Nothobranchius furzeri: one gene and its partner. The protein of the gene in region 1 binds, or shares a complex with, the protein of each later gene. Links are inferred from orthologs where the notes say so. Each region holds a gene or a part of one and is shown in the gene's direction. Other genes may lie near its edges.

Evidence for each region.
Region 2: dis3l (region 1) and exosc10 share a complex: the UniProt entries of both Homo sapiens proteins name them as parts of the RNA exosome complex. The link is inferred for Nothobranchius furzeri from reciprocal best matches to the Homo sapiens genes DIS3L and EXOSC10.

Annotation. Positions count from the first base shown.
Region 1 is NC_091749.1:66,607,245-66,618,487, reverse strand, and holds the end of dis3l (DIS3-like exonuclease 1), read left to right. Parts: intron 1-508; coding exon 509-637; intron 638-1,291; coding exon 1,292-1,427; intron 1,428-4,016; coding exon 4,017-4,184; intron 4,185-4,265; coding exon 4,266-4,344; intron 4,345-4,418; coding exon 4,419-4,598; intron 4,599-4,672; coding exon 4,673-4,836; intron 4,837-5,053; coding exon 5,054-5,215; intron 5,216-5,487; coding exon 5,488-5,738; intron 5,739-5,822; coding exon 5,823-5,915; intron 5,916-5,980; coding exon 5,981-6,269; intron 6,270-6,339; coding exon 6,340-6,575; intron 6,576-7,096; coding exon 7,097-7,251; intron 7,252-7,324; coding exon 7,325-7,503; intron 7,504-7,579; coding exon 7,580-7,725; intron 7,726-8,083; coding exon 8,084-8,255; intron 8,256-8,319; coding exon 8,320-8,640; 3' UTR 8,641-8,735; downstream 8,736-11,243. Other genes in the region: tipin (TIMELESS-interacting protein), read right to left, coding at 8,930-9,594, 10,156-10,368. UniProt on the Homo sapiens protein: Catalytic component of the RNA exosome complex which has 3'->5' exoribonuclease activity and participates in a multitude of cellular RNA processing and degradation events.
Region 2 is NC_091755.1:29,806,471-29,818,258, reverse strand, and holds the start of exosc10 (exosome complex component 10), read left to right. Parts: upstream 1-6,199; 5' UTR 6,200-6,279; coding exon 6,280-6,405; intron 6,406-7,130; coding exon 7,131-7,267; intron 7,268-7,455; coding exon 7,456-7,579; intron 7,580-7,664; coding exon 7,665-7,769; intron 7,770-7,894; coding exon 7,895-8,054; intron 8,055-8,142; coding exon 8,143-8,251; intron 8,252-8,333; coding exon 8,334-8,409; intron 8,410-8,484; coding exon 8,485-8,595; intron 8,596-8,709; coding exon 8,710-8,853; intron 8,854-9,219; coding exon 9,220-9,410; intron 9,411-9,522; coding exon 9,523-9,679; intron 9,680-10,390; coding exon 10,391-10,539; intron 10,540-10,674; coding exon 10,675-10,725; intron 10,726-10,814; coding exon 10,815-10,926; intron 10,927-11,005; coding exon 11,006-11,053; intron 11,054-11,139; coding exon 11,140-11,215; intron 11,216-11,788. UniProt on the Homo sapiens protein: Catalytic component of the RNA exosome complex which has 3'->5' exoribonuclease activity and participates in a multitude of cellular RNA processing and degradation events.

The DNA of each region.
Region 1 (11,243 bases):
GGGAAGGGAGAGGGAGAGGGAGAGGGAGAGAGAGAGAGAGAGAGAGAGAGAGAGAGAGAGAGAGAGAGAGAGAGAGAGAGAGAGAGAGAGAGACCGGGACCGGGTTGACCTCATTATGTCAGAGTTCTGCTGATGCAGGTGTGACTTTAACCTTCTGCTCCGGTTTCTGACTGACTTGAACAAACCTGTAAATAAGGATTCCCAGCTGACCTTGTCTCCGAGTCCAATTTGTTTTGGGTTTCCGCCGACTCGGCAGTGTCGCATCATTAGAGTGAGGCTTCGTTTCTGATGGTGTCAGGATTCTGTTAGGGCACTAACACGCAGAACCAGAACTGACATGGGTACGCTGGGTTCTGGTCCGATGCCAGGGGATTCAAATGCTTTGAATAAACTTTATTAGGGTTTATTTCTTTAGATGACGTGGGAGCTGTTGTAGTCTTTCCACCTGAGCGTCTTTTTCTGCCTCCTGCTGGTGAGCTCTGTGTTCTGATGCTCCTGTGTCGTTCAGGTGCTACAGCCGTCTGAGGAACCTGGTGAAAGACCCTCGACACGACTGTGTTCTGTTTGCTAACGAGTTCCAGGAGCACTCGTACCGCCCGAGAGAGAAGGGCGAGAGCCACGAGCAGTGGCAGACCAGGTGAGTGGTCCCAGGGTGTCAGGACACCAGAAGCTTTCATCAGATTTCCCACCTGAGGTGGGGTCAGAGGTTAGTATAGGTTTATTTATAAATTCAACAAGTTATTACATTTCAAATAAATGTTGGGAAATTAGAACTGAAATTAGAACTTTCCTACTTAATCGGGATTATTTGTAATAAAAAAAACAGAATAAGTTTAGTTTTCAGAAGGATTCAGAACGAGGCGACCAGGGGCCTCATTTCTAAAGCTGCTTACGCACAAAACGGGTCTGAAAAGTGCGTAAGTGACTTGCAACGCCAACTTTGTGATTTATAAAGAAACACCGGACAGAAAAACGTGGCAACTTTAAGCAAAACTTGCAGACTTGGAAGAGGGCGAGATGGTAAAATGTTTAAGGACACATTTTCACACCGTTGGCACAGTTTCATAAGTCGGAAAATCAGTTTGCGTAACTTTTTCATTTTTAGCTGAGCTTAAGTGGGGTTTTAGTAAGGATTCTATGCAGTTTTACAAACGAGGCCCTTGGTCTTCAGGAACCAGAATCAGCAGGGGTCCGTGTTTTTAACTGTTTAAACCAAAGTTTCAGAAGTGTTTTTAAATGTAAAGTTTGGATAAACGGTGTAAAAACCATCTGATGTATTATTTGTGGGTAGGTGTGTGTACGAAGCTGCAGTGTGGTACTACAACCACCTGGCAGGAATGATGAGCATCGTGATGGTTACAGAGGACGAAGATGTTGTGAGTCGGTTCAGCAACCTGAACTCTGGAGTTTTTGTCGTCACCTTCAAGGTAAACATGTCAGTCAGCAGCCAATCAGATCAGCCAGGGTTAGCCTAGCCCCAACCCAGGCTGATGGGCTAGGGCTAGGCTAACCCTGAAAGTCAAGGGCAGGGGGTGCTTGATCCTGGTCCTGGAGGCCCGGCATCCAGCATGTTTTAGTTTTAACCCTCCTCCAACACACCTGGTTTCAGTCAGCAGCTGATTAACAGACTTCTGCAGAGCTTGATGAGTTTCTGCACAGGTGATTCCACCACTGAATCAAGTGTGTTGGAGCAGAGAAACAACTAAAACATGCTGGATGCCGGCCTTCCGGCCCACTGCTCTGAGGCTAGGCTCACACTGTGCTGATGCAGTATTTTAGACAAAAGGAGGTCCAACTGGCAGGGTATCTGCAGGTCCTTAAAAAGTCTTAAATTTGCTTTTCTAAATTTAAGGCCTTAAAAATCCTTAAAAATGACTAATAATCCTTAAATACAGTTTCCAAAGGTCTTAAATTACCAAATACCCAATAAACAAGAATTTCTAGTTAGTCTTCAGCATTTTTTGTGTATGATGTTGGCGTAAGCGGAACCGTACACATTCAGTTGGTTGTGAAAGAGGGCTATTTTTAGATGAGCATATTAGCTGGTTAAGCTAGTGGGAGCTTGGTAATCCCACGTTTCCGACGTGGCTAGCACCGGTTCCAGGCAATAGCTGGAAATTATAGCTTAAATTTAATTTAAAAAATAGCTTAAATTTGGTCAAAGTGGCCTTAAAAAAGGTCTTAAAAAGTCTTAAATTTGGCTCCCTTAAGCCTGCAGATACCCTGAACTGGGTAGTGATGCACAAAAGCAGCCCCACACATCCAAACGTGTGCATTTCCTCCCAAGGAACCAAAAACGAGGAGAGGGTGCTCGCTGCAGAACTACAAAGGCGGAGCTGCACCAGAGTCAGCCCCGCCCACTCTCGCAAACTCAGCCTAGCCCACTGACTTCTTCTGTTTTTGTTTTTTAACTTTATCGCAAACTAACCTGACCCACATGAACTACGGCTGTTACTGGTTTACAAATGTTAATGCTACGTTCTATGCTCCAATTAAACAAGATAAATATAACTTGCTACATGACAAAGCCTGAATATATCCTGAAATGAAAGTTTCTTTTAGCAAATATCTGCCCACAGCCGCTCCAACAAAAGCGGCCTACAACAGCATTTCAGGCTATCGTGTGGGTTCTGGTAGTCCAGTGGCGAGATCGTAAAGTTTTGCCGTTGATGCTGGTTCGACTCTCGGTGGGGTCGGCAGCAATCTATTTATCCAGCTGAAACATTTAATTTGTTTATATTTTAGTTGTAATGTTTATTTTCTGCAAAATATTTATGTCTCTAAAAGTTCTTTGAATTTGGTCGTTCCTAAACAGCATTTTAGTTGAAACTCTGCTCACAAATGGACTCACACTGGCTAATTAAACATTAGTCATTATATTTTAGACGGTATACCAATAAATAGTTGTAAACATAGTAGTGGCAAGTGTAGCTAGAAAAGAAGAAAAAGGGTTTTAAACTACCTAATATTTCTGCTACTGGGAGGCGAACCTGCGCAAAACAGCACGTCTATCTTTGAACATCTTAGGTGTGTTCTTGCTGTGTCGTGGTAATTCCATGCTGTCGTTCTTTTTAAAACACAGAAACAGATTTGTTTACCTGTTTTGTTGCTACGTTTCGCCGCCGGCGAAACGTAGCGACAAAACAGGTAAACAAATCTGTTTCTGTGTTTTAAAAAGAACGACAGCATGGAGCATGTCTATCTGACTCCATAACCACTTCACCACTACATCTGATAAAAAGCAAGTGGCATCACACTAATTGTGCCATCCAGTGTGTCTTTGTAGATGGGATGTATGGTTTTTTCGGCGGTGTCTCAGTAGAAGTCATTTCAGAAATAATTTGTCGGAAAATTGAGAACCAAGACCAGACCCGCTTCGGGGGAGGAGACCAAACTGAAGCTGAGATGGGAGGAAAAATGTGTGAATGAGGCCAAAAATGGCTTTGGCGTGTTTCTTTTGAGGAAATGACAATATAACATGGTAAAAAGTTCCAAAAGTTAGATTTTTAATTATATGAAACCTTTACAAAAACTGTTCAATTAACCTCTCAACTCCGTCCTCAATCTTGCATTTTAGATGATGTTAGCTATAACACCCTCTTTGGTTCCAGAATGCTATCAAGTCTGACAACTGGAAGGAATTGGACTGACTCTGATGGAATGGGCGGGGCTGACTCTGGTGCAGCTCCGCCTTTGTGGTTCTGCAGCGAGCACCACTTGAAAACATGCATGATGGCTTCATTCACAGCTTTGGTTTCTAGAATAAAGTGTGACTTGGTCTCCTATTTAATCAAACATAAGCATTGTTCTTTTGGCAGGAATATAACTTACTGACATTTATGAGATGGATTAGAGCTGCATTTAAAACGCCAACATGTGTTGTGACCAGCTCAGACTAGCCGTTAGCCCATCAGTCTGGTCAGAATTAAAGAAATTGCTAAAGCAGAAAGTTAGAAGGTTAGGATCAGCTCTTCTGGTCTAGATGTTCCCCTGAGACCTGACTTCATCCCTTCCAGGATTATCTGCAGAACTTCTGGCCCGATCTGCAGGCGGCCCACGAGCTCTACGGCTCCATTTCTCAGGCGCTGCAGGAGAAGGAGAGCGAGGACACTCAGAAGGAGTTTTGTGAACATCTACCTACTGAAGTTCTGGCGGCTGGCATCAAATCTGGGCGTTACATTCAGGTAGAACCTCACCTGATCGGGTCGACGTCTAAACTCAGGGTCACACGGGTTGGCTAACTGGTTAATATTCTGTTGAACCAGGGGATTCTGAACGTCAGCAAACATCGAGCTCAGAACGAAGCGTTTGTTGCGAATGATGATATTTCCAACAAGAACTCAGGTACAGAACCTTCCTGAACCTCTCTGCAGAACGACTCAGAACTTGTTCAGAATCCCCCCGGTTCTTCTTCCCAGATCTGATTGGGGGGGTTCTGGTGTACGGCGTGAGGAACCGCAACAGAGCCGTGCACGGGGATTCTGTGGTTCTGGAGCTTCTGCCGAGGAGCGAGTGGAGGGGAAAGGTCACGGCTCTGACGGAGGGACCGGTGGACGAGAGGACAGGAGGGGACAGTGAGAGTAAACCAATGCCCACAGGTGAGGCCGGACCTGAGAGTCCAGCAGGCCCTGGGTGCTTCTGATTGACTGACCAGGTGTGGTTCTGGGTTCAGGTCGGGTTGTGGGGGTCCTGCAGAGGAACTGGAGGGACTACGTGGTGACCTTCCCCCCAAGGGAGGGGACTCAGAGCAGGAACTCCCAGCGCATCCTGGTGATTCCTTGGGACCGACGCATCCCTAAGATCCGGATCAGCACCCAGCAGGCCGATGTTCTGCAGGTCTGGGTCCAGTTTCTCTGTTGGGTGTTTTGGTTCTGATAGGTCCACTTTCTGTAGGAACAAGTTTCATTTTTTATTTCACAGGAAAAAGTTTTATTTTCATTATCGACTCTTTATGCTGACAGGATTGTTAGTGCTGAAGAGGGATTACTGTGTCCCGGTTCTGGAGAATTGGGTCTAGCTTGTCCATGAAGCTCCATTCTGTTTTGTCCTGCAGGACCACAGAGTGGTGGTGCGCATCGATTCATGGGAAAGCACCTCCCTCTATCCCAGCGGTCACAGCGTTCGGGTTCTGGGTCGGGCCGGAGAGCTGGAGACCGAGGTCCAGACCATCCTGATAGAGAACTGCATCCATGTTCCTCCCTTCTCAGAAGCTCAGGTCAGAACCGGTTCTACTGTGATCTGCTGACTCCCACCAGGGGCGGGGTCCAGCGTCCCCGTCAGAGGTGGTTCAGGAGTCAGGAACCGGGTGCGAGGCAGCGATAACTCGGGTCATCGTTAGCTGGTGATCCGAGCAACAGCTGCTTTTTGGTTTCCATGGAAACGTTTTGTATTTACCCAGCATCCATAATGTTTGACAGCTGACTGAGCCGGTAGAAGTTCTGATCAGAAATCGCCATCACAGCCTTCCTGTGACCTTCTCTCCATCAGCTGAGGGAAATGCCATCGACCTCGGCAACAAAGCCATGGACGGTGGATCCGGTTCAGGTGTCAAAGAGGCGGGACCTCCGGGAGACTCACCTGGTGTTCAGCATCGACCCGCGTGGCTGCGAGGACGTGGACGACACTCTGTCGGTGCGCCGTCTCCCTGGCGGGTCGCTGCTGGAGCTGGGGGTCCACATCGCTGACGTCACTCACTTTGTTTCTGAGGGATCGCTCACCGACCTGGAGGCTCGCTCCAGGTGAGCAGAACCAAAACTTTAGACTCGGTTTTCACTCCAGACCTGGGTTTGGACCCCTGATCTGAAGGCTCTGTGGAATTTCAGGGCCACTACCTACTACCTGGCAGACCGCCGCTACGACATGCTGCCGGCTGTTCTCAGCGCTGACCTCTGCTCCCTGCTGGGAGGTGTCGACAGGTGAGTGGATCCATCATCTCCTCACAGAAGCTCCGCCGGTCCAACGGGTTCGCTCTCGTGTTCAGGTACGCCATGAGTGTCCTGTGGGAGCTCGACGTTCAGACGATGGCCGTCGCCAAGGTGTGGTTCGGTCGCACGCTGATCCGATCCTCGTACCAGCTGCACTACGAGCTGGCCCAGGCGCTGCTGAACGGGGAGGAGGCAGAGGTACCGGAACTGGCCCAGCTCGCCTCGGAGGAGCGGGACGGGAAGCTGGCCGAGCTGGTGGAAGCGCTGGAGACACTGACGCATGTGGCGAGACACCTCCGTGCGCAGAGAGACTGTGGAGGTGCGCTGGAGCTGGAGGGGGTGGAGGTACGTGGTTCTACTGGGTCGGTTCTGAACTCGGGGTTCTATATTGAAACCTGGACCCGGTCCTCCTCAGGTCCGAGCCCAGCTGGATGAGAAGCGGAACATCACGGCGCTGGTCCCCCGTCAGCCGCTGGAGGTCCATGAGACGGTGGCAGAATGCATGATCTACGCCAACCACTGGGTGGCGCGCAAGATACAGGAAGTGTTTCCGTACCAGGCTCTGCTGCGGCGCCACCCGCCGCCACGCCAGGAGCTGTTTGGTCAGCTGGTGGACACGGCCCAGGCCCGGGGCTTCAGCATCGACACCAGGTGACACACAGAACCAACAGGTCCATCAGAACCGACCAAAACCAGCTGATTTATAAACTCATTGGGTCAAAAGATCTCGAGGGTTCTTGGTTTCCTGGTGAGTCTCGGGAACATCTGGAACCCATTTGGGTTCAGATCAGAACCACCAGATGACTTTGGCACCAGATTCAGCAGGTCTTGTTGCTCAGACCCGATCAGAACAATCCGTGGTTCTGTAGTGACCCGTGTGACATCACACGTTGGCATGGGATGTTCCTGCTTCTTTTAGAACAGAACTTGTCCTGGATCTGGTTTAGGAAGGGACCATGTTCTAGCCTCTTCCGTTCTGGGCCGCTTTGTTGAAACCAGAACCTTTGTGACTAAATGAGAAAATCCCGTCTGCATTGGATCACCATGACAACGGCACCAGGTGATCTGGTTAGGAACGTGTCACCTGTTGCCGTTTATCCCTACCTGACCTGGTTCTGTGACCGGACCGGATTCTGGTTCAGGATCTAAACGTGCCCCTCTGATCCCTGCAGCACCAACAAGGCTTTAGCTGACTCTCTGAACCGGGCCGTGGACCCCCGGGACCCGCTGGTAAACAGGCTGCTCAGGATGATGGCGACCCAGGCGATGTCCCAGGCCGTGTACTTCTCCACCGGTTCTGAACCCGAGGACCAGTTCTTCCACTACGGTGAGCCCGGCGTTCCCGCTGAACAAAGCCGTTGGTCTCAGTGACCCGACTGTTCTACTCTGATGTTCTGCAGGTCTGGCTCTGGACCGGTACACCCACTTCACTTCCCCGATCCGACGGTACGCCGACATGGTGGTTCACCGCCTGCTGACCGCCGCCCTGGCCACGGAGCAGGGGGCGGAGCCTGTCGAAGCGCCCGCTGGAAATAAAGAAATGGAAGAGCTAGCGGAGCACATCAACAACAAGAACCGGGTGAGAAGAGCGGGTCGGTTCTGAAGCTCCGTGGTGTTTCAGTCTGATGAGGTTCTGAGCCGTTTCCATTCTGCAGGCGGCCCAGCGGGCCCAGAACCTCTCCATCGGGCTGTTTCAGTGCCTTTTCTTCAAAGAGCGAGACCCTGAGACGGACCCGCGGTGCGTGGCTGGCGCCGTCATCTACTCCATCCGAGACAACGGCGTGCTGGTGTTTGTCCCAGAGTAAGGAACCGACCCGGTTTGTCAGCAGCATTGAGGTTCTTTAAACAGAAGTTTGGACATTACCCGAGATGGGCTCCAGTTTACAGAACCGGGCCTGGACTCCGGACTCTAAATGAGTTTGGTTGGACCCGGTTGGCTATTGGAGGATTTTTTGTTAACAGGACGGCGTGAACTTCATGGGATCGGGTCGTTCGCGGTTCTGCAGGTTTGTCGGATCCGATTCTGATGAAAACAGAAACTTCTTCCTTGTGATTCTGGGTCGGCACCAACTGAATTCTGGGATATTTGTTTAGATATTAGAAGTCTGGGAGCGTAAATAAGTGGTTCTGGTTCTGACCCGGGTCGCTGCTGTTTACAGGTACGGTGTGAAAGGTCCAGTCTACTTGAAGAACAAGGAGGGTCAGGTGGTGTCAGTGGGACCTGACGGAACCTGTGAGTGGCAGAGTGGTTCTGTCCAGCGACACTCGGACCACATCAGAACCACCTCTGCCTGTGGCAGCGCCACCTTCAGGCTGTTTGACCACATCACCGTGAGTAAACGTCTCAGAACCGGGCCTGCTGAGAAACCCACTGAGCTCCCGTTTGTCCCCTCAGGTCCGCGTCTCCGTCCTGTCCTCCAGCTGTCACTCGGACACTCTGAACATGGAGGTCATCAGCAACAAGCCGCACCGCAGCAGCTCGACGCCGCAGCAGGTCTCCTCACAGGGCCGGAACCAGCTGGTCCAGGAGGTGGTCCGACTTGCTGAGGAGGCACAGAAGGAGACCCGGAAACCCAAACTGTCCCGAGAGGAGAGGGAGTTCCGGCAGAGTAAAACTCCTAATCTGTACTCCCTTCTGGAGGAGATCCGAGAACTGTCCCTGTTGGACCCGGAGACGGAGCCACGCCCCCCCGAGGGGACACAGGTGGACACCTGAACGTCCTGCAGAACGTTTGGTTCTGTCAAGTTTTATTTTTAAAATCTGAGAACGAGGCTTTAAAAATAAAAACCGAAGTTTCAGGAAAACTCAAACTTTATTCTGACTTTTATAATAAAATGTGATTCGTATAAACGTCTCTGACCTTTGACCTGCAGCCACAGTCTTTGTGTCCCAAAACCTGGACTCTTTCTTCACCTTCAGGTCACAAATGTCAAAACATCCAGAACCAAGCACAACCAAGTGGACCAGAACTGCAGGTTGTTCAGGTTTTAGAACCACGCTGGCATTAAACTTCTTCCTCCGGCCCCTCTGGGACCGGTTCCTCCTTACCAAGAGTGGACTCAGTAGGAGGTTCTGGGTCAGCGTGTGGAGGAGCAGGAGGTTCTGAGTCGGCATGTGAAGGAGCAGGAGGTTCTAGGTCCATGTGTGAAGGAGCAGGAGGTTCTGGGTCAGCGTCTAGAGGAGCAGGAGGTTCTGGGTCAGCGTCTAGAGGAGCAGGAGGTTCTGAGTCGGCATGTGGAGGAGCAGGAGGTTCTACAGGAGGTTCTAGGTCCACGTGTGAAGGAGCAGGAGGTTCTGGGTCGGCGTGCTGAGAAACGGGAGGTTCTGGGTCAGCGTCTAGAGGAGCAGGAGGTTCTGGGTCCTTGTGCGGAAGAGCAGGAGGTTCTAGGTCCACGTGTGAAGGAGCAGGAGGTTCTGGGTCCTTGTGTGGAAGAGCAGGAGGTTCTGGGTCTGTGTGTAGAAGAGCAGGAGGTTCTGGGTCGGCGTGTGGAGAAACGGGAGGTTCTGGGTCAGCGTCTAGAGGAGCAGGAGGTTCTGGGTCTGTGTGTAGAAGAGCAGGAGGTTGTGTGCTGCAGGACCGATCCAGGTCCAGATCTTGCATCTTCTCCTGGTCAGCAGAACCATTGAGGATGTTGGAGGAAGCTGGCGAAGGCCCGGTGTCAGAAGGTTCTACACAAGAAGAGAAGACAATTAGCGATCCATTTGTTCTGGTTTTGTTTTATATGTTTTCTGAAGATGAACCAAGTAGAACCGATCCCTCGGGTCGGTGAAGCAGATCAGAACTTTTTCAGTTTTTAATGAATTTGTGAACAAAATTATCAGCTGGTTTAAAACTCAAAGATCCTCTCAGACCTTTTGGATTTTGTGTTTCTCTGATAAACTAATAATTATAATTTAACCGCCGGTCCCGCCGACCACCACCAGCAGGCAAGGCGGGTTAAGTGTCTTGCCCAAGGACACACCAGCAGCATTCTCTGGTTGGAGCCGGGATCAAACCTACAACCTTCCGATTGCTGGACTACCCGCTCTCCTTCCTGAGCTACAGCTTCTAATCTTTTACCACCTTCTGACATTTGTGATTTCTAAGTTTTTGCAGCTGGAGGAATCATCCCAGAGCTCCAGCGACCTCTAGTGGTAGACACCAGAAACTACACAAGTAGAATCTAGATTAGTCAGGACCGATTGTCCTCCCCGGGCTGCCATAGACCAGGTAGTTCTGGTTCTTCTCACCTGTTTGCTGCTGACGAGCGATCCTCCTCTCCAGCGCTCGCTGCCGGTTCAGCTCCATCCTGTCGAGCTGATCCTGAGTCAGAGGCGGGACAGCCGGAGGAGCAGGGACCGGGGTGGACCGGAGAAGACCTTGTGGGTCTTTAACAGAACTCTCACTGCTGAAGGGATCAAAATCCTGGAACACCTGCATCTCAGGTGGAGCTTCTTCCTCACCTACAAAACATTTGGAGAACACGTGAGAGAGCGGAGTCAGAACCAGCCAGTAAGCCGCTGGTTTTAAAAAGGTTCTAACTCAGGTTCCATCAGTTTTACGACCTGAAACATGGAATTCTGTCCTGCTGGAGTCGCTCTACATGCTTTAGATCTGTAAAATGTTGTGGTAATTATATCAGCTGGTCCAAAACTCTTCATCTGAACCACGGGAAAGTCTTTGTTATGAATCAAAAGGGTCAAGTTTTCGCCATCAAATTGACACAGCATAACCTTTCACACACGCCAGAGCCGCAAAGTCAAGGCTGCACCAGCTGGAGGATCCAGACGCACAAATCAACCCTTTGCTCACTTATTGTTCTTCACCGCAGACATAAATAAACTGTCAAGGTCTCCCTCAAAAGCCCTTCTCTCTCTGTGTAAAAGTCAGACTGCTGGATTCCTCACTCTGAATAAAAGTGAACCTACACGAATCCTACAAGGCTTTACAACTTATAAGTTAATTAATCATATGGTTGAATGAACACGATGTTTAAATGAAATGTTTGAATAATTTGTGATTAAATCAATGAAGTTGAAATGAATATTGCTCTTACAACGATCCATTGCCGATCTTATGACCAGTATGTGTTTGATTTAACAAGTTAATCATCGTCTACACTCGTACATCTTCATAAGAGTCAAATTCAGGTTAAGCTTCACCTCACATAAGTGTTTCAAGACAATCTCATTCACAGTGTTAAAAAAATCTTTGTATCTGAGGAGGACGTGGCTTTCTGAGGGATGTTGGTGAAAACTCAGAAACGTGTCTAATTCTGATTGGCTAAACTTGGCCAGAAATCATAATAAAGTGGTTTAATGAAACAAGAATTACTTCC
Region 2 (11,788 bases), on another chromosome or scaffold:
TCATATTTTGGGAATGATGCTAATTTTTCAAAATAAAAGTGTGGATAAAAATGTACACCAGGATGATTAAAGAAGGCTTAAATTGAAATAAGAAACTCAAATTTTAAGCACTTTGTGGCTTAATTGCAACAAGAACATGTTCACCGCTGCGACATTAATTTTATTTGGAGTTACCTCAATTGCCCCATGAAAGCTTGTCATATATAAAGTGTAATATATGCGACAAACTGCGGTTTTGTGTTGCCATCCAGTGAGCATGCCCGTATCTAACGAAAGGGGAGTGCTTCACCACCGTCCTGAAATTTTAAGAGGATTTCTAAAGTGCTACCTCCCTATTCGGGGTTAATTTTTACCCGGGTAATGTGCTTTAGCTCCGTTCTTGTAGCGGATACACGCTGAGCAGCCTCAGAACAGGTTCCTGAGGTGCAAATATGACCCTTTTCACAAAGAATGGATGAGAGTTCACAAAGATCTAGTTGGCTAGGTGTGCGAGGCCTCCAAAAAGGTCGCTTAACTCAGTTAATTAAAAAACAAACTATACTGTGACTCAGAAACAAGTTAAAGTAAACTGGAGGGAAAGGTGTTTTTCGATTTTTGGGGTGCGCCACCATCACCTAACCGTCACTTCTTCTGCTCGTTAAAACATTCCTCCTCTTAGCTCCCTTCACAGTGTTTTTACTTACCATAAAAATTTCACGAGTTACATTTTCAAGCAAGGGTAAACCAGACTAAAGTGGCCACATAGTAGGAATGAAGTGGATGTTGCGTTTGTGATGCTTTATTTCTGTTTCAGCAGCTTTGACGTTCCCGCTCTGGAGAGTTTTAACGTCTACACTGTTACATACCCTCTAATTCAGTTTTAATTCAGCTTAATTGGAGGTTTGGATACATAATCATTACTATTTTGGAACTGATGATATATTCCAATTGGAAGCCTAAAAAGTGCTTTAACAGTTGCACTTCCACACTAGTGTGACTTTTCAGACCCAGCAGCTCATCTCTCTTTTTGTGTAGTCTAATGATCGCTCTCACCGAAACCGATAATCCGGCGTTCACCTCACATCCACTTCACACTCACTTCGCACCACACGCCAGGCATGAGGAGGTGAGAAAGTAAGCTGGGTTTGGACCTCCATCTCATTTGTTTTGTAACACATCCTTGCATTTGCAGCTAAGCACGACCTTGCAAATGCCTTTTGTGAAAGAAATGTTCTGTTATTGTCATATCGGAAGAATTATTACAGTTTATTCCTTGCTGATGTTTAAATTACTTGTGCATAAATGTCGATTATACACCTCTACTTTGTGGCGGCGTCATTCCCAGCTACAGGTTTAGAGGTAAAAGCTAAAACCTTTGCTTTAGTCCTTCGAAAAAAAAAATCTGAAACGAAGGGACACCTGATGACATGTTAGAGTCCCGAATGTTCTGCCTCCATGTGATAAAATGTTGAATCATTGAAGGCTGCTGTTATATTGATCGGACCAAAAACACAAAGCAATCAGAAAAATATCACCTTGAGTTCTTGGAAAAACTATGAGATTTTACAGCCTGTGTGATTTATAGGACTTGATTATCAATAGTGGGGGGGAAGTATTAGTTTCAATCCTTTTCCTCATCCATCTGGGCGAGGCTCAGTCAGTGCCAGTCGATATGCCTCATCAGCCATTGTAGTCAGGACGGGCATTTTTCAAGTGCTGCCAATTGTGCCAGTCTGTTAACCGAAATCTAGCCACCAGCTTTGACATCGTTTGGCTAACTCTAGCTGTGTTTTAATACTTTGTGAATATGTCCTTTGTTGTCGTTTGTGTTTTTCGGCCCTTTTTTTAACGTGTGTGGTGTGTGTTGCCTTTGTTTATGTGTTTGAGTGAAACGCCGTTGCTCAGGTATTCAGACGTGCTTCACTCCATCGTTCAGCGGCTCCAACGTGACAGGAGTTAATAGATCAGAGAGGTATTAGCACAGAACACAATGGGCTATTTAATGGTCTGACGTGATGAATGGAAAGCCTGATGTGGACCACGATATAGCAGACATTCAAACATCTTAATAAATTAGAGCAGGCCTGAGGGGGGTTCGGAGGGGAAGGGCACGCGAGTAATGGTACTAATGACACCCGCACAAGACTAATATATCAGGATTTAGGGAAGACTAAATCAGAACATTTTTGTCAAGATGGCTTCAGTGTGTGTGTGTGTGTGTGTGTGTGTGTGTGTGTGTGTGTGTGTGTGTGTGTGTGTGTGTGTGTGTGTGTGTGAGCAGGGCTGTGTATGGTTATTACTTTTAGCCTAGTGTCATGGGCAAGTGATTTCAAGAGGACCGTTCTGCTACTGAAAGAAAAATGGTTTAAACTCGTTTTCTTTGCTCTTAACCATCGTTGTCTGCCCTGAATAACTGAAGCATTGCGGACATTCAAGTAGAATAATGCAAGGTCAGCGTCGGAGGTAGGAAAAATGACTTTGACCTAGTCAGGACTCAGAGTGTCTATTTTTCTGTTAAATAATCTTAGGCTGCCAGAGCAGAAGGGAAAACTGAGGGGAAAATCTGCTGAATTCAAGGCTGCATCAGGTTCGTCTTGCTGGAAAATAACTTGTCTAAAGTGTAAAGATGAAAAGCAAAAGTTTTCTCTACATCTGATGAGCGTTTTAACCTGAAACCTGCCATTTATTTTTTTGATGGGTCCCTTTATTAACGTTACTTGGTGAATTATTAAAGTAGCAGTGTGTAGTTCCCTGCCATTAGGGGGCAGTACATACATTTCAGGGTAGTTTTACATATCGCTGTGACTGTTGCTAGTTTATAAAAACATTACGGTAAATGTTGTTACCTGTGGAGCAGAAAGCATGCAACCTCGGCATGACTCCTCTCACTTTGGTGGTCCTTCAGTTAATTCCCTCGAACGGATGCAATGCTGATGCTAGTTTTCTGGGGTTGTAGTTTCCAGATCTGCTCGGAGTCCTGCGCCTGCCGATGACATCATCTTACTACGGCAATATCACTCGGCCAAGATCTATTGCAACTCTCTTTTGATTCTGTTCTTTCACATAAATTTTGGAAAGAGTTTAGCAGTTTTGTTAATAAATTACATGATTCGTTTTCGAACGTGGTGAAGAAATGACAGTAAATCATACATCCCCACTGTGCAAAGACCTAGTTTGGACGTCCTACAGACGGGGTCTGGACCGACAGACTCAGTATAGACATGATCTGCACGTCCATGCGACGTTAACTGTTTGCAGGGTCCAGCCAATCATCTAGTGTGATGTCATCAACAGGCGCAGGATCCTGAGCTGGCCAGAAGGAAACATGACGTCTAATGTGTTGTCCCCCAAAGATGCTAGACCCGCGCCCCATGTACATCAGACCTGATTTTTATGGTTAAATTTTACAAAGCCACCAATAGTTTTCAACGACTGGGCATCATTTTGTTCATTTTCAACAGGATTTCGATGGATGTTTCCAGAGATGAATCATAAAAATACACATTGTCACTTTAAACTTTAATAAACTACTAAATAAAGTATTAGCAACTACTTAATGTTAATATTAAGTAATGCTTTAGTAAGTAGACACCTCCCCACCCGGCCCTTTGTACTAACCTTAAAGACATTTAATAGTTAACAGTATCTGAAATTTTAATAAAGGGATCCTTTGTTTATTAATGCTTAATAATGCACTAAGTAACGTTAATAAAGGGATCATTATTATAAAGTGTTACTTTTTTTCTTTTATATGTGGACAGTTTACGTATGTTTTGTCTTTCTTAAACAGAAAACTCCATCTTTTGCAGCTGTTGTTTAGAATCAAACGAACTGAAAAAAGGTTGCATTTGTATCTTTGGTTGCATTGAAACATTGTCAGCCTCTCTGTTTTGTAATGTACCAGTACTGTGGAGATCATTTGATTTAACATTTTTTAATGTTTGATATGGATCTTACCTGTTATTTGTTTTTTTTTTTTTTTTGTTTTTTTACTGAAAAATATTCTGCACAAAGGTCAAGTGTTGTTTAAAAGTAGTGATTAAAGCCACTTTTTGCTACTGCTAAAGCCAGTCTTGAAATCTCTCTTGCCTTCATACAGTATATAATACATACTGTATGTATTACGCTAAACCCCTATTTCCAATTGTAATAGTCAAACTTTGAAAAATAAATGACTACAGACTCTTTTGCTAACAGCTGCTACCACACACACACACACACACACACACACACACACACACACACACACACACACACACACACCGGTTTGGTGAAATAACCGATGCACAATAGCTCTCTCTACCTTTGTCTTTTTATACAGCTTTACCATTTTCAGAGATGGCAGCATTTCGTGCTAAATTTGTAATTAAATTAAATTGAAAGAAAAATGTACTAGTTTGTGTTTTGGGTGACAACGCTTGACCTTTCTATTGTGACTCCTCAGTATTTCAGTGTCCAGGTGATCTCTATGAGATCGTGTCATTAATGTTTTCACATTGAAAAGTCATCAGCTGATCTTGAAATGCTGAAGATGTGCATGTATGACATTGTTTGGTGCATTTTGGTGTTTTTTAAATGAAGGAGTTAATAAAAACAGTTCACTGAGAATTTTCTCCTGGATTTATTTATTTATTTATTTTGCTGTCACCTTCAGCATCAGCAGTTTTAGTGTCTGTACTGCACGGGGAGAGACTTGAGTAGAGCAGGGGCGTGTCCAGGGAGTGGCCTGGGGTAGCACATGCCACCCTTGGAATCTGATTGGCCACCCCAGGTGCCACCACACTAATTTACCTTTAAATAGGCTTTTCATTGTCCACAAAAGGCTTGGGGGTAAAACAAAAAAAGCATAACCATTGGTGCTACCCATGCGCAAAATTGTGCCTCACCTGGGCCACCCCATTTTAAAAGATCTGGACACCCCACTGGAGTAGAGCCTTGGAGCGCTATCAAAGCTAGAAAATGCATCATATTTTTAAAGCACATAAATTGGGGTGAAATGCAACAATAACATAGATTAATAATATGACAAAGTTTATTAAATCTGGATTAATACGTCATTATAAAGACTGTTATCAGTGATAACTCAATGGTTTCAAAGTAATATAACACTCAATATCTTTAGAAACGAACACATCAAGTTGCTGGTTTTGTGCAGCGACTTTCCAACAGATGCTGATTCATTTCTTTGAATTATTAGTGCACGTGTGTGCCGAAGTTTGGTTACTCTCCGCTGAAACAACAGAATGACATGGAAAGATGCTGTGAAATATTGATCCAGTCAGTGTTGCGGAGATGCTTTTAAGATAATAAGAAGGAGAGGGCCTCGTGAAGAAATCGATTTGAATGGGAAGTGAAGAAAAGAGAGGTTTCTCCCCACACACCACAGATCATTTATAATGAGCTGGCGTGTCAATACTTTGGCTCTTCTCATGTATTGACCACTGGATCACAGCAACACCCGGTTTTTCTAATTTGTTTTGGCAACAAACACTGAGGGGAATGAATACATTTACAGTTAGGATACCTTCATCCTTGGTCAAACTCTGCAAAAATAATAAGCTTTCGATTCAAATATAATATAGACGTCTCTTAAACAAATATTGGTGGAGACATGACTGGTGCATTTTCCTTTTTCATGTGCTGCAGATGCTGAGGAGTGGTTTGCACACTTTACAAATGTAAACACTGCCCCCTCATGGTACCAGAGTCCTGGTGCATCTTTCTGTCTAAACTGGATCAAATGGGGCGATAAGAGAAGAAATCTTGCAGCGTCTGCAGTCTCACTGCATTGGATGGATGCTCTGCTGACCAGAGCACAGTCCTGCGGGATTTGTGACCAACATCCTTTCAGATTTGTAGTGAGAGTAGCCAGCATTACAACAATACACAGCAAATATTCCAGATTTATATCATTTAAACCAACAATTATTTTATCTATTTGTTGATTCAGATTCAGTTTTTGTCTTTTCTTTATCATGTAGAAAATTAATTTATATGTACAAACACTTGTAAAAATGTTGCTATATTTAATAACTTCAAGCTTTTCAACAGTATTTTGTACACTATTGTACATTATTTATGTGTTTCGTTTATTATGTTTACATTTTTGAGTGTAGTTTCAAATCAGAGAGCAACTAAATCAATTTTAAAATATTTTATGAGTATTCACTCCTGTGTAATGTTGACACTGTCCACTCCATGCCGAAAGGGGGCGCTGTGACCCTACTGCTCTACCATTAACACTGAAGGTAAAGGTGGCGCTGTTTCCGTCAGGCACTCATGTACACAACTCAAATTTAGATGATGAATTCTTCAAAGAGTAATGATGCCACGGACAGCAGCTGTCAGGGAGGTAATTTGGACACTACTGAAGAAGTGAAAGATGAGTTATGTCCTGGTTTCAAAGACGCGGACACCTTCGTTAAAGTAAGTAAACAAAACTAGCTAGCTAGCCAGTTTTTAGCTTATGCTAACAGTCCAACGTGGGTGAGCTGGTTGGCCAGTTAGCAGGATCATCATTGGGAGTTGAAGTCAAGCAAAGCAGAGACAATGACTTAACACTATTCATAAATTAAAGGTGCAACGGTGTGGTTGTGTGTAACGAAGCTTTTTGCCAACTAGCTTTTGACAGCTTTTTCATTTAGGGATCCAAATCAGCAGTAGATATAAGCTGATGATTAGAGCAAAATATGTTGCTACAAGCTTTTATTCCACTAGATTCGGGGTCTGCAGTATTTAAGCTTAAATAACCTTTTTATTGTCAAATATAATTTAGTAAAATAAACTATGAAGGCATGGCAGCTTTATTTGTGTAATGCATTTCATACAACGAGGCATTTAAATAAATAAGGAGCGCATGAAATATTTAATTTTGATTTAAAAGTTGCTAGAGTTGGGGCACACAAAAATCACCATTAAATTAAGACAAATGTTTAGATTTTTTTCTGTTTAGATTAGTTCTTCATATATTTTTTCTGTTTGGTCAAAGTTACATTTGGCCCCATCAGAAAGAATGAAAAGCTGCATTTTCCAACAGCCAAGCTTTTAGGCAAATCAACATCACATTTAAATCAAACCAATGAGATTTTAAATATTATTGCATTGTTATTATCCTTTAGTAATAGTAACAACTGAACCTGGTCTCTTTACAGTATGGTTTGGGTGCAGTGTTATCGGCCACCAAAGCTTCAGCTGGCTTACCTCAGTCTGGAGATGAGTATGATTTCTATCGGAGCTTCCCGGGATTCCAGGAGTTCTGTGAAAGTCAAGGAGATAAGCTTTTGCACTGGTAAGTGTAGTTTCTATTGGCACATGTCAATGATCAATCAGCATGTAACCAACACATAATTAACAATTATTTTATTCTTTTTGTCACTGACCAGTTTTTCAGAAGCAAGCTCAAGTTTAAACCTGAACTGAGTATTCTGAGTTCTGAGGGAGTAAAACAAGGTTTTAATCTGTTTAACTGTCTTTTAGCATGAGCCAGATAATGCAGAACCATGGCTGCAGATCTCACATAAAAGACCGGGACAAACTCACAGGAATAGAGGAGAGGTTTGACTTGGTTGTGGACTCGAATGATGTTATCCTTGAAAGAGCGGTATGACCTGCACCTTTGGCTCTAAATTACTTAATGAATGCAAAGACCTTTGCAGACCAACCAGGTTCTGCTGTCTGGTTTTTAGGGCATTCTTCTTGATGAAGCTGATGGGGTTAATCGGAGCCAGAAGCCTGTCATGCCTGTTGGGTTTCAGCCTCCGAAAATTGTTGTTTCTAGTTGGAATCGTAAGGTAGGTGAAATAAACAGTTCTTCCTGTTATCACAGTTTTTCTGTTTTGAACTACCTTCTTGCTTATCTATAAATTCTTATATCATAATAAGCAGAGTGTGTGTGCGTGTGTTTTTTTTTTTACAGGGTTCCAGCTCTGGCAGTCGTTCTGAGACATTCCGACTGCTCCATGCCAAGAACATTGCAAGGCCTCAGCTGAAATTCAAAGAAAAGGTCGACAACAGCAACACACCTTTTGTTCCAAAGATCTTCATCAAGCCCAATTCATTAAAGGCTCTTCCCTCCTGTAAGAAGCACCTTTGGCACATGTTTTGATTTGCCATTTCAACTCGTCAGCGTATCTGAGTTATTTATTTTCTTTTCTCAAACTGTAGATTTTACCAACAAACAAATTCGTAAAGAGAGGCCGGAGGACCTTGACGTCCCAGCTGCCCTGGCTGACTTTATCCACCAGCAGAGGACGCAGGAACATGTTGAAGACATGTGAGACTTGTCCCTGGTTGTGTCAACACCGTGTTTCATGTTTTCATTTCTCTAAGTAGAGTTTATTTTTTATTTTATGTAGGTTTGCACACCCGTACCAGTATGAACTGGACCATCTCATAGTACCAGAAAGCTTGCTGTCCAAGCCAGAGCCTCAAGTAATATTAACCTGTAGTAACCCAACAAAATCATCTTGTGCCGGTGTGTGTCTCATCTGTTTCTGTTCCTTCTAGATGTACAAACCGTTGGCTGAGACAAACCTAACCTTCGTCGACTCGCTGGAGGATCTAGTGACTCTCAATGAGAAGCTGTGCAAGTCGTCTGAATTTGCTGTGGATCTTGAGGTACTAAAGTCTCGTGTCTTTCTGTTCTAATTAAAATAAAAGTAGCTTTAGGAAGTCATTAAACTCTTTGGAGGCTGTTTTTCTGTTAAACATTTTCTTTTTTTTCTGTGACAGCATCATTCCTACAGGAGTTTCCTCGGCCTCACCTGTCTGATGCAGGTCTCCACCAGAGAGGAGGACTTCATCATTGATACTTTGGAGCTCCGCAGTGAATTGTACATTCTGAACGAGGCGTTTACCGACCCGAGTATCGTCAAAGTAATGAAACTGTTCTATAAATGAGTTAATTTAATGTTGAAGAGATGAGCTGAGTCTGACTTGTGAAGGGAGAGCGTGTCTCCATCATCCTAGGGAGCAGTTCTCCCTCAGCAGTTAAGATAAAAGCCAGATTTCCGTCTCATTAACATGTTTGATAAGGTTGGCAGGTGTCTTGTGCGTGGGAACCAGCGTGACTCACACTCTGCAGGACACCTCTGAACAAATATGATGTGTGGGCTTGGAACAGCTGAAAGATTTGTTAAATTATTCAAATTAAAGTGTTGCATATGTGTCCAGTTAATTTGTCTTTTTTAGTTCAGAGATGCTTTAATAAAAGCGTGTGTGGGTTGGTTTTCTGTTCTGCAGGTGTTCCACGGCGCTGATTCAGACATCGAGTGGCTCCAGAGGGACTTTGGTTTGTACGTCGTCAACCTGTTTGACACACATCAGGCGAGTCGAGCTCTCAACCTGGCCCGACACTCCCTCGACCACCTGCTGAAACACTTCTGCGACGTGGACTCGGACAAACGTTACCAGCTGGCCGACTGGAGGATCCGGTGTGTTGTTAACTGGACACATTTTTAATCATTAATCAACAAGAAAATGTTTATAATAATATCTTTTGAAAGCTGAAACTCAAAAAGAAATTTGTATTAATTGTCCTTGCAGCCCCTTGCCAGAGGAGATGATTCAGTACGCTCGGTCAGACACCCACTACCTCCTTTACATCTACGACTGTGTGAGAGCGCAGCTTTTAGACAGCAACCACGGGCAGCCGGGACTGTTGCAGTGTGTGTGGAACAAGAGCCGAGACATTTCATTAAAGGTTTGCTCAAACGTCTCTTACTCTCACATGCACAAGCGGTCTGGAGACTTCTGTCTAAAGTCCATGTTGTTTTGCATCATTTCTGTTTGTTCTGGTGTGCTTTTATTATTTTTCTAATTGACATTATCTCTAGGGGTGGAGTGACATTTTGTTGTGTTTTAAATCTAAGAACTTTGTCCAAGCCGAGGGTCAAATTTTGCTTTTTTTGCAAAGGAATTCCCCCGATTTTCTAGATGTTTTATGTCAAAATCTTCATAAAGAAAATATGCATCGCTTTATTTATTAATATAACTTAGATGCTAAGGCAAGCATAGTTGTTTTTTTTTTTTGTTAGTTTATGACTGCAGCAGCAGAAGGAAGCTTGTTCCAGTGCATTCTGGGATTTTAAATTCTAAATGGGTTTGGTATTTTACAGCTACAGGCTGTTTACATTAAAATGATATTAAACATGATTTCACAGATTGGTGTGTTATAAATGTTTTGAGTGTCAGGAAGGATGTCCCATAAATTCAGCAGCAGGGATTGTGATGATACAGATACGACACCAGTCTGTCTAAACGTAGCATGTAAAACTCGCCCTGGTGTCTCTTTCTAGTCCTGGTTGTTGCACAAAGTTGTTCTCGTTTTTATCACCTGCCCACAGTTTTCTCTTTTACCTCATGTCACGTGTCTCCTTCCCCTGTGTGACCCGACTCTCTCCTTTTTAAACAGAAATATTTGAAGCCCATCTACACCGAGGAGTCTTATTTAGAGCTGCAGAGGAAGCAGAAAAAGTCCTTTAACACTCAGCAGCTCACTGCCTTCAGACTCCTGTTTGCCTGGAGGGACAAGCTGGCCAGGCAGGAAGATGAAAGCACCGGGTAAGGCTTTGTGAAGTGATGTTCTATCATAGCGGCTTATTTATATTAGGAGTGTGTGTGCACAGTCGGCAAAGAACCAAATATTAATGCTCCTTCTGCTCCAAGGTGTTTAAATGTGATTTTATTTGTGTTCAGATACGTTTTGCCCACCCACATGATGATCAAAATATCAGAGGAATTACCCAAGTAAGTCCAGTAGATTTTACGTTAAAATCACTGCAGAAGGTAATTTATTATAAATAACTTTTGTGTTTTTATTTGTCGGGCCTCCTCAGAGAGCCTCAGGGCATCATCGCCTGCTGTATCCCCGTGCCACCGCTGGTGAGGCAGCAGGTCAACGAGCTGCATTCATTGGTGCAACAAGCCAGAGAAATGCCCCTGCTGAAGGTGAGGAACCACCGATGCTCTGCGCTGTCACTGTGCCTGAATCTGTCATGGTTTGATGCGTTTGTCACTTTTCACACAGGCTGAGATTGCAGCTCAGAAGAAGAAAGGACTCACGCCCGTTAGGAAGGTTAGCTGAAGGCTGAATGGGCGACACCAGCAGCTACAGACAGCCACCATTTGGGGAAAATTCATGTTTTGTTTTTTATGTTGCAGCCAGAGGTCTCTTTGTTTGGTCCACATGATGTGTCCAAGGTTTCTGAGGGTGAAGTGCCACAAGTTACAGCTGACGGTGAGCTTGACAGTTACTGTGCTTTTTCTAAGTTTCAGTGAAAAACAGGGTATCCGCGGGTCCTTAAAAAGTCGTAAAAAGTCTTAAATTTGCTTTTCCAAATTTAAGGCCTTAAAAGTCCTTAAAAATGACAAATAATCCTTAAATACAGTTTACAAAGGTCTTAAATTACCAAAGACCCAATAAACAAGATTCTTTTATTTCTAAAAAAAATTCGTGAATTTCTAGTTAGTGTTCAGCATTTTTTGTGTACGATGTTGGCATAAGCGGAACCGTACACATTCAGTGAAAGGGGACTATTTTTAGATGAGCACATTAGCTGGTTAAGCTAGTGGGAGCCTGCGCCATGGGAAAGTGCAAGTTTAATGGTAACTGGATGGCTAATCCCACGTTCGCGACGTTCCAGGCAATAGCTGGAAATCATAGCTTAAATTTAATTTCAAAAACAGCTTAAATTTGGTCAAAGTGGCCTTAAAAATGTCTTAAAAAGTCTTAAATTTGGCTCCCTTAAACCTGCAGATACCCTGGAAAAAGTGTTTCAGGAAAGATTTATTTATTTATTTGTTTTTTTTT